Neodiprion lecontei: one gene and its partner. The protein of the gene in region 2 interacts with the protein of the main gene of each other region in a pairwise test. Links are inferred from orthologs where the notes say so. Each region holds a gene or a part of one and is shown on either strand. Other genes may lie near its edges.

Region 1 (3,619 bases), on a different chromosome or scaffold from region 2:
GTTTTTCCTTCAAGCCTTTCGGCAAGTGCTGTGCAGCAGTTTTTGACCTCACCGAATACCTCGTCAAGACTTTTATTGTACCAGCCCAAGACATTCAGTTTCTTTGTAATCTGATTTTGCTTTTGCCAGTTAAGAAGATGATTGAGAGGCCAAGGATAGACACTGCCGTGCCTGGGCTTGGTGACTGAAATCAAGGTGGCCTGATCTACCCAGCAAACATACTGTTCAGCATTAACTAGCACATTATTAACAAGCGATATGTAGGCTCGCATGTCAGCCTTATCAGTTGCCCCAAGCTCTCCAGAAAGACTAGAACCCTTGCTGCTGATGAAAGACACGATCGGGTCGAACTCCGATACAAGGAAAGCCCCACATTGAATAAAAGGGACTCTTCCTGAGGGAGACATGTACTCCGCATTGCTTCTCGGTTCAATTTGGAACTCCAGACCGCACATTTTTAAGTACGCTTGGACCGCCAGGCAGTTTGCATTGTCAGGGAGCAGAATTTGCTCGACCTCATATGGCTGATACAATTTTATCGGCTGCGGCCAAGGCTCTTGAGCTAAGAGTAAATAGTCGGAGAGCAAAATTCATAGATAATTTCTGAGGGGTTCAAACAGGATTACATAAGGTTATGTTAGGTTACGGTTAGGTCAGTTTCTGTTACCAAGGCTAGGTTAGGTTGCAACGGGGAATTGATATACTGGATTTGAGTAAAGTTTGACTAGGTTTGATTACATATACGTCATATTTTACAAGAGTTAAGGTTCGTCGTGTTAAATACAGATTCTGCCACGATAAAGTGGCAACGTTGTTCTGAAAGATAACCTGAGTCAAGTTAGGTTAGGTTAGGGTAGAGTCGAAGCACGCGTAAGATCTCAAGAGGTTACGATTAGTGTCTGAAATTTACCTCCTAACTCCATCGCTATCGTATCTGAGAGTAGAACGTCTGGCATTATGACAATTATTTTGACGGCGATGAACTTACTCCGTTTATTAATTTAGTCAACTAAGTAAAAGCGGGCTTCAAACTGCAGAAGAGACGTGAGTCTGCGGCAGGTCGAGCTATCGAGTTACTGAATCGAGCGGTCGAAGTATTCGTTAGATGTGGGCATTTTTGAAGTTCTACCGGAAGGTGATAATGCAGTTTGTTTACTAAAATTACCGTGAATATCCAGATATTTTTCACCGCAGATAGCCATGCACCCCTGCGTCGATGCTAGAGAGTCATCCTGCTATAATGAAAAATATGTTCTGTAATCGAAAAGTCGGGATAGGACCAAGCTGACGTTCGATAACCTCTTCGCAATCCACGGCGGAGACAAATGTCTGTATAACATGCTCCCCGAGCAGAGGGTCCTTTGTTTTCCTAACCAGTGTTTCGTAAACTTTTGAAAACATCTTTATGAATTGTTGCGAATTGAGGATTTATTCTGAAAACAGTCGATTTAGAGAAAATTTATATACGCACACCGCACACTAATCGATCACAGCGCTATTTCAAAAATTAGATATGTCAGAACGACCGCTGCGGATCAAATTAAGTACTCGAGAATCATTCCACGAAAATTTTCAATAAGCTTAACCCAGTCCTCTAATTATCAAGTAAAGGTGATAGAATAAACCTCAATGATTTTTCAGCCCCTTATGTATCCACAATCTTCTGATCCACGAGTGTTGGGGACATCGCGTTTGTACGAATTTTGACCAGCTGGTATTCAGCTGCGTGTAAATGATGCGCGTCAAGAGTTGGATCAGGGGTCTGCAGTACAGATCGAGCGCCCCAGACTTCCTCTTTCAAACGAAGCAAGATGTCGAAACGAGGTGAGCCCGAGTTTGGGCCGAAATAAATCCGCAATAATCGGCCGTTTCCGAGCGAGACGTACCGCGTTTGAGTGTTTAGCGAACGTGGAAGATACGTGTGCGTCATGCGAAACGTATACTTAACGTTATTTGTGCCTTACGATGAAATAAGATGCGTGATAAATACTTGCCGCCTGTCGACAACACGATACGACGCGACGTACGTCTTGCTCCGGAACACGGGAATAACCTAACAAACGGAGACCACGCGATCCTCATGGATGTTTATCAACTTTAATATTTCTGTTTAAGGACGTGGTGGTTCCGCTGGAGCTAAATTCAGGATATCTCTGGGTCTACCTGTTGGCGCAGTTATCAATTGTGCTGACAACACGGGTGAGTTAGTCCAAATCGTAAGTCAATACTATGCGTGTCCACGTCCTTATTCCAACCATTCGTCCATATCATCATTCTTCATTCTTCACATTCTTCTTTTTCCGATATGTTCGTACTTGATGAAATTATACGCAGTTCATCCTGTTCGTGATTCACCATTCACATTGATCTCTGCGCGTACACGATGAGATGCACATATTAAAATTTGCTGCGCTCATGCCACTATCTGTTGTGTCTCTTGTTTAATCTAATCGATATATCTTTTTAAGGGGCCAAGAATTTGTATGTAATCGCAGTACAAGGAGTGAAGGGACGTCTCAACAGACTGCCTGCTGCAGGGTCCGGTGACATGATTGTTGCCACTGTTAAGAAGGGAAAGCCCGAACTCAGAAAGAAAGGTTCGTTTAACTCGATACTGGCTTAATATGTTCATCTGACAATGTTCAGTTGTTTTCGTTATCATGAAAGTCGACTGCAAAGCCATGCTGTTGCCCAATTCAACGCATGTTCCAAGTTCTACAAGTGTCTGTTTTAGGTTAGGTGAACACTTTTCATTTACGTTTAGTCGTGCTGTGTCTTTGTATACATGGATACTATTGGCTTAAAAGATTTGCGTGAAAATTTGACTTTATGATGGAGTAAAAAATAATTTTTTTTTATTGCAGTTATGCTTGCCGTGGTGATCCGCCAGCGTAAGCCTTTCCGGAGGAAGGATGGGGTATTCATATACTTCGAAGACAACGCAGGTGTTATTGTGAATAATAAAGGTGAAATGAAAGGCTCAGCCATCACTGGCCCAGTAGCTAAAGAGTGCGCCGATTTGTGGCCAAGAATCGCCTCCAATGCCAGCAGCATCGCCTAAAATAACACCTTGTATACCGTTGACTCAATAAATACCAATTTGGACTCGTCATCGGTACTTTACTTATTTACTGTTTAATACGTTTGTATAATGTCACGAATAGTAAAATGATTGTCATGCTATCAGGTGCATTCTGTTTAGATTAAGATTTAGTCTATTTTTCTGAAAACAAGTTTGTCGTTAGAACATGACTACATTGCAAGATTTTTCCATTAAAATTCATGAGATCTAGTATTTCACCATCCTTACTCAAGATCTTGAACTGCCGTACAAGTAAGTATTTTTTGAAAATACATCATTGGCATGAATTCAGAATTACACTTAGTGTTGATCTATCGTAAACTTCCCCTATAGCAGGAGTGGGCAATTGGCGCACTTTATCCTGACAACGACTCTATTACGGGGGAACAGTCGAATGACGAGAACCACCTGCGTGATCGGTTCGATCCCAACAAAAACAATTGTAGAATCGCCGAAATCGCGAACTACACTAAAAAATGGGATCGCACTGGGAACGCCAGGAGTTGCCCACTTCTGTCTCATAGTTAAAAAAAGCTT
Region 2 (7,743 bases):
GTCTCGAATACGAATTGCAGCCAGAAGGCTCGTTAAGGAGTACTTTTCGTCCATTAGAGTTAAAAACTTTCGGTCCAGTCTTAACTACTAGCTCCCGCAACGTGAAGTTTGATTTTGTCAATGATACTCTGGAGTTTTGAAGATTCAAAAAGTAAAACTTTTCGATATGGCTTCATTTCGTTATCACTTTCAGTCCAGGTCCCTTCTAATCCACTATCGGATTCATTTTCAACGGAAAATTCAAAGCTGCAGTCTGCTTCTTCGGCGAATATCTCCTCCTCACGATTACTCCAGAGTATGTCAACATGAGGTGCGTTATTCTTGTTCTTCGTTTGTGGATCCTTTTTAGGATTCTGGATTTCGTACACCTTACATATTAGTATGAAGTAGGAAAATTTGAATGGCATTTTCTTTTTTGCTGCCCTATCAATTTCCGAAACCAAATTTTCAAACAGCGGCACTGATATCTGTGCGGGAATATTGATGAATCTTTCATTGATCAACAGACCCAATGGTGCTGCGTCGTTTTCCAGTACATTTCTAATCAGGGCGTTGGTAGCGTCGGTTGCATGCTCTTCTGCAAGCTGCTTTAGTAAATCTCTCAATTGTTTCACGCATGGCTGGTTCTGAAAACAATTTCAAAATTAATCTATATCTGCCCATACAGAATCTGCACAGATCATTTAGAAAATCATTTTTTGTTTTAGAATTCTTGTGAGCTTTCACAAATTATAATTTTTTCAATTTCCTATGATTTGATTTTTTTTCTTCCTTCACGTGCGTAGCAAAGAAAACAATATGCTGTACACGTAATTCAGGGAATAGTTATTATGTCAATAGATTTAAGTCTGTCGAGGCTGAAAAGTTAATTATATTTGAATGCGTGAAGAAATATAATCCAGTCATACATCTACCTGTCTGTCGGATATGTTGACGACTGTAGTGATTCCGAAAACGTTGTTTGGGTCCTCGTTCTCGTCCTCGTCTGAATCCTCCGTGTCATTGGATGATTGCTTAACGACTGATCCCACGTAATTTTGAGAAATAATTAAGTCTGTGAGCCCGCTGAGGTCGAGGTGGGCTTTGAGGAATAATTGCTGCAGCAGTATTTTAATGCCATTGAAGTCAGGATCTTGCGGATTACGTCCCTCAAAATCTACCTGGATTTCCATTCCCTAAAAGTGGAATATTTTTCGTGATTTTTGGTCAAATTTATAATGATATGATAACCATCGTACATTTAGACTCATTACGGCAAATATGTTACATCTAGTCATAAAAACATGTTTCCTTATTTAATAGCACAGAGCTGTACGTTCCTTGTACAGAGAGTTCAAATTCAAACTTTATCGAATACTGAAATTCTAATCGCAGATACATTGATTTCCAACACTGTTGATTGATAAACAATAACTGTAACCTATTCATTAATGGTTGACGAAGTAGGGGTGGAAATTAATACAAAATAACACGATTCTTCCGTTACTATACAATTCTTATAAAATGTACATAATGATGCAAGCCTCTCTGTTACATAGTGATGAATAAGAATTCTCGACCTCGTATATAATCTATTATAGAATCTTGGTGATCGGTCAATTAAGTAAACGTATTTTTAGTTAACGTTTCGACCCGGTTATGGGCCCTCCTCAGAACGATTTATTTATTTAACTGTCAAGAACAACAAAAAATTTTTTTTAAATAATAATACTAGAAGTACAATCAGACATTAAATATTGTAGATGTAATACTCTTAGGGCTATCATATATTATTGGTTAGTAAGAACATTTTGATTAATTGAAAAAAGAATGGCTTTAAGTGTTATTTACCTTTTTTTATAAGTAAGTGGACTAAGATGTAGTCGAATTCACAATTTACAATTAGTGGAGACAATGTTCTTTGAGTGACGGTAGTCAATGTCAATCTTTTAGTTATTTTACATGTAGGAGTTAATAGTTGGAAGTCATTAATTAAAAAGATTAAAGAACTATGTTTCTTCACAGTCAGTATGTCATTGTGTTAAAAGGTTTTTAAAGAAAGTCTTTTTAGCAGTAAAATTAATTTGCAAGTGTCCAAGAAGTGGAGGTAGGCTCTTTATGACTATGTTCCACATGTCTAACCAAAAATTATTGTTGGTTGAACCGATTGGGTCAACAGGTGAATAACGACTGATGGGAGAAACAAATATGATCCAGAGTGAAGGTGAACCTAATATAAACAATTATACAGAAAAACAAACAATATTTTGTGAAAAAAATTTGTTTGTATCTAGTTAAGGTTAAACAATATTTTTTGTGTGGGCGGAGATTAGAGGTTTGTAAATATTACTTAAATGTTCAACATCTTGTCTAAGATTAACGGAATGGGTGCGACCTACAATGTTGCACATTTCTAGTAATAGTCTTTTATAATGATTGTGTTCTTCACAAAGGATGTTTGTATTGTCGTAGTTAAAAGTATGTTGTTTATTGATACTATGTTTTGTTAGAGCCGTGTGACGTTCTTCAATCTCATGTACATTGCGTTGATGTTCTTTGATTCTGGTGTTAAGGTGGCGGCCAGTTTGTCCTATATAAACTTGGTTGCAATCATTGCAAGGTATTTTATACACAACATTGGATCGTTTGCCAATGGGGATCTTATCTTTTCCCGCATCAAAAACTAATTGTAAATCTTTTGAATTTTTTCCAACAAACTTGACATTATGTTTGGCAAATAGGCGGTTCAGTGACTCAAAGAGACCAGATACATATGGGATGGGGATATATGTAGTAGCAGGTCTATTGTTATCGTCTGCGGGAGCAGAGTCAATATTATTATAAGGATAATCATTCCATCTTAGTATATTGTATATGAGCGACAGGTTTTTTTCCTGGAACTCTGTACTAGAAAGTTTGATGGCTCGGTCAACTAGGTTAATGATGGTGCCTATTTTGTAGGACATTGGGTGGTGAGAATTAAAATTCAGATATCTTTGAGACCAGGTTTTTTTGTGGAACCAATCTGTTTTGATATTACTGTTGTTGTGTATCAGCAATACATCTAAGAAATTGATGGCGTTATTTTCTTCTGTTTCGATAGTAAATTGTAATCGTGGATGATATCGGTTAAAAGTATTAAGAGTGTGATCTATTTTTTCTTTAGGAACAGCAGTAAGAATATCATCAACATATCGAAAATAGAACGGTAAATCAAAATCAAGATTGTTAATGCAAGACGTTTCCAAGTCTTCCATGACAAGGTCTGACAAGATTGGGGAGAGAGGAGATCCCATGGGCAACCCGAATTGTTGTGCATACGTATCGTTGTTAAATTTGAATATTGCAGAATCAAAACATATTTTTAAAGCTTTATCTAGTTCAATAAGAGGAATTGGGATCTTATTTTCAAGAGAAGCCCAACGGTTGTTTACTACGCGCAATGCAAGATCTATCGGAACGTTGGTAAAAAGTGATATTACATCTAGCGATATTAAAGTATTGTTGTCTGGGATAATCAATGTTTTTATTGTGTCAACTAAGGAAAAGCTATCTTTAACACTAGAGGTGGGAGGTGTGATATTAGTGGTGAGCCATGAATTAATTGTCTTGGCTATTACATCTACAATATTTAATGTCTGATTGTACTTCTAGTATTATTATTTAAAAAAAATTTTTTGTTGTTCTTGACAGTTAAATAAATAAATCGTTCTGAGGAGGGCCCATATCCGGGTCGAAACGTTAACTAAAAATACGTTTACTTAATTGACCGATCACCAAGATTCTATAATAGTCTGTTACATAGTAATACATGATAGCTTTCGATCCAGGTGATCGCTGTTGATCGCTAATTTATTTAATATGCCTATCAGACAATCCCAAGAAATCTGGGTTTTACAGATATCATTGGAAGTTATATTAGGATTTAACTCTAGGTTTGGTTGGAAATAATCCACTACATACCGGAGTGCGCAAAAAAGTATGAATGTGATCGAATTTTTTATCAGTTAGTTCATTTGTTTTCTGAAAAATTGTAATCGCCAAAGGGTGAAACTTGTCTCAAACCGTTCAAATTGCCAATTCTACTTTGAAAATGACATTTTCCAGTAAAATGAATTTCATAGGACCATTTTAATTATACAGTTATTACAAATACATAATTATTGAATGGTTCATTTTCATTTTTTAAACTCGCATTAAAGGTCTTAAAACGAGTGAAAATTCTGAGTTCACATTTATTACAAATAAAATTCAACCGTGAGCGCCTGGGTACCGGCAACCGTCAATACGTACATGTGTTGCAGAGAATGGGATGCGCGCAACTCGCAAGTTATACAAAGTAGCAAACTGTAAACTGCAATATGATCATTTAATTGAATCAGTGTAAACGGTTGGTTGAGTAGATTCTAAATTTCGAACAGAGCAGATGACCAGTCGTCGCCTGTTTCAACTTTTCGTCATTTATTGAAAATTCTTGACAAGTGATGTGGCAACCGACCACGTGCTTCGTGGAGGTTAGATCACTTCGTTTGCTCAATAACGAGTAAAAAATGTGCAATCTCGCTAACCTGCTCAGCCTCCGATGCGTCCTCATTTTCGGAATCACTCTGATCATCCGACGAACTGTGTTCTTCCCCATTGTGGCCAATATTCTCGTTCCTCGGCTGGATCTCACGTTTTTTTGTTGGCGCAGCCATAGCGTAGTCCTTGCGTATCGCTGTACCGTGGCGACGGATGCGGCGCTTGCGCTTCACGCTTCTCGGCCCGCAATTCACCTGCGAATCGATGTGGTCGATATCAGTGTTACCAACCTATCAGACAATTACTTTTTTCAATGGCGCCAAAACAATTCTTTAGATTTCTTATTTAGATGGCATCACAATAATTTTTCAGATGTCTCAATGGCGCCACAATAATTCTTCATATTTCTCATTTTCAACAGTGATGTTTGACGGGATTGAACCTGAATAAATATAGGAATATATAATATATTTAATTTTTTTGCATTATAACATGGACATTTTTCCTAGAAATATATCCTACAATCGGAATTTCAAGTATAAAGATATTAACAACCTTTACTTATATAATGTGTTCTTATTTTTAATACTTAAATATTGCAGAAGCTACTAATTGTCGCATGTTTTTTCAGGAACCTCACGATTGGTTGATTTGTAGTCTGTTGTTTCGATTTCAGCGGCCATATTTAGAGATTTCGTCATCAATCTTGAGATTTCGTCAGATTCCGGCCTAAATGACAATATTTCTTAACAAGAAAACAACTTTACTTTTTTTTTTTTTGAACATTCTCTAATTTCTTTGATTTTAAAGAAATTTTTTTAGGACTGACAACGCTGGTCGATGTCTCTGACCTGTAAATATGTCAAGTTTCAGTCGCGTCGCGGCAATTTTAAGCTCCTTTGGAACGTTATCCAAAATTCAAAAAAAGTATTTGATTGTCCGTTAAAAACGAATACATGTAAGAATAACGCTGACCCCATTCAAATTGAGCGAACTTGCTGGCTTAAGCACGGAGTTATTTTTTATTCGTAAATAAAATGGTGCGAATGGTATGGTATAAATTATAACACAAGAATCGTAACGATCAATGCAACATGTTTTCGCTATAAAACAGGCATGCAGATGTGACTCGATGCATATATTTTTGTGGCTTGAACAGAGAGGTAATGAGGCATTATAACCAAACACCTTATATTATTGTTATTATTATCATGATTACTTTTTGGAATTCAAAGGCAGCCATGCGCGTGAAGCTTACATACATAAACGCAGGCGCGTGATTCAGCCTTGGTGTGTATTCGAGTGTATATTTATACCGAGGTATATGATTTGTGCTATCTGAAACCGTCCATACGAAGGCATTGTTACGTATTTTTTATGAGAAATGGAACCAGGCTTTCCTTTGAACAAGACGACATAGTGATACGTATGCATGCTACGGGCGAAATTTTAGACTGTACCGACGGATATATTGTGACTCTGCATGCAGAAGCTCTATGCGCGTTTGGTGGTCGCTCGGGAAACTCAAGCGTGCGTTCCTATTGTTGCCGCTGGTGCTGGGTGGAATTCGATTAAAAGCACGCTACTCGCGCATGACTGAAGGAAATTCTATTTTCTAGAATTTCCCGGAGTCTGTAAGGCTGCTCCACAGCGTAGCACGCACGGGTCTAAGAGCAGTGTCGCATTATAGGTTATAAAATATGTATTTTTAAAAATTGATATATACATAATATATTTATATTGCCGATTTCGTCGATCTCTCTGCGTAATATGTTTATATAATATAATATATATTATATGTTTGTAATGTTAAATAATAAAATTGAAGCATCCGAGTGAGGACATACACATACCTATAATAATCTCGTATTGGGAAGTGATAATACCAAGTTTGACACTCGTGAAATTCTGAGAGTGTGCAGGCGGGGGGTGAGATGGCTGTCTGGTGTCTACATGTTCGATGGATGTTTAAATAAATTTCTGTGCTACACGATATCATGCTCATACATACATAGAGAGAAAGAGATTGGATGTTTTAAATTCTGGCTGTTGGGTGTTTAGCGATACATTATATCTTTAGAAATAGCTGTCTCACCTGCCTTGGACTGTTTTTTTCAGTTATTTATTTATTGCTTCTACGTTTCCATTAGGCCTCTTCTCCTCTGTCTACCTTTCCAAACGTATTTTTTCAGTAATACGTCAATTTGTATTACATTTTTTATGATATCTGTATGATATGTATATTAACGAAGAATATATAAGTTATCATTATTTACAATGCTTAAAACCTTCCAATAAGTGTCTGTGTGAACCTATACATGGTTTTAGATCAATCAACCACTTCATAAACCGCTCTTAATTGCATCTCGTTCGTTAATCATATTAATGGAAATTACTCACTTGCCTGTCAAATCGAAGGAATTTCAGAAATATTCTCGACACCCGGATACCTTCCGAAATAAAAAATTTTCTTTGCAAATAAAAATTGTGCGAACCGATGAGCTTATAAACGGGAATTTGATTGTGTTGTGAAATTAAACTACGAATGAGCCTGTTAGAAACAGATTGAAGTTTCTTCATAAAACTGTCAAGGCATACGTTATATATATATGTAATATAACTAATGTGTGAAATCATTCATCTACATAGCTAACGCCGCAGTATTTTCCAGTATATCGAAACTAAAGAATGTAGTATACCTATGTTACCACGAGTCGCAGTTCACCGCGGGTGGTGGTCTTTATGGATTTTTCCACACCACAATTGAATGAAATTAACCCATTTGCCGACATCGTAGGGGCGTGCTAGACTGTGGCGTTCTAGCGGGTGAGCAACTGGTTGATTTATGACCGCTTTGCGTAGTGAGAGACGAGTAGTCTGCAGCGGGGGAACTAAATTAGATTCTGCTGAGTGTACAAATGACTTTATTCAAATTTCGAATGCAATTTAGGGTGAGAATGACAATTAGGCTGCATCTTGCCTGTGCCTTTCCTTTGCTGTAACTGGCCTATGGAATTAGATTTATACGCAGGGGTCTTTACCTAAGTTCCTGTAATTTTATTCCTTTATTTTTCGAATCCTTGGAAAAAAAATTTATCCAAGCAAAATGTTACCGAGCAAAGTGACAGACTGGAGATGATGCAATGAATAAATATTTTTCAAATGCTCAAAAAATTCACAAATAGATGGATATGCAAATGCGTAGAGTGAACTTTCAAACTCATCCCGATGGCCTGTAAATTT

The links. The genes of interacting proteins can lie anywhere in the genome.
Region 1: the proteins of protein BCCIP homolog (region 2) and 60S ribosomal protein L23 interact in binary tests that used the Homo sapiens proteins (3 or more experiments, as listed by UniProt). The link is inferred for Neodiprion lecontei from reciprocal best matches to the Homo sapiens genes BCCIP and RPL23.

What each region holds. Positions count from the first base shown.
Region 1 is NC_060264.1:31,957,522-31,961,140, forward strand, and holds 60S ribosomal protein L23, read left to right. Parts: upstream 1-1,735; 5' UTR 1,736-1,811; coding exon 1,812-1,824; intron 1,825-2,115; coding exon 2,116-2,199; intron 2,200-2,468; coding exon 2,469-2,597; intron 2,598-2,864; coding exon 2,865-3,061; 3' UTR 3,062-3,112; downstream 3,113-3,619. Other genes in the region: metaxin-2, read right to left, coding at 1-562, 911-956.
Region 2 is NC_060260.1:13,308,996-13,316,738, reverse strand, and holds the start of protein BCCIP homolog, read right to left. Parts: upstream 6,006-7,743; 5' UTR 5,961-6,005; intron 4,755-5,960; 5' UTR 4,677-4,754; coding exon 4,548-4,676; intron 1,176-4,547; coding exon 909-1,175; intron 627-908; coding exon 81-626; 3' UTR 1-80. UniProt on the Homo sapiens protein: During interphase, required for microtubule organizing and anchoring activities. During mitosis, required for the organization and stabilization of the spindle pole.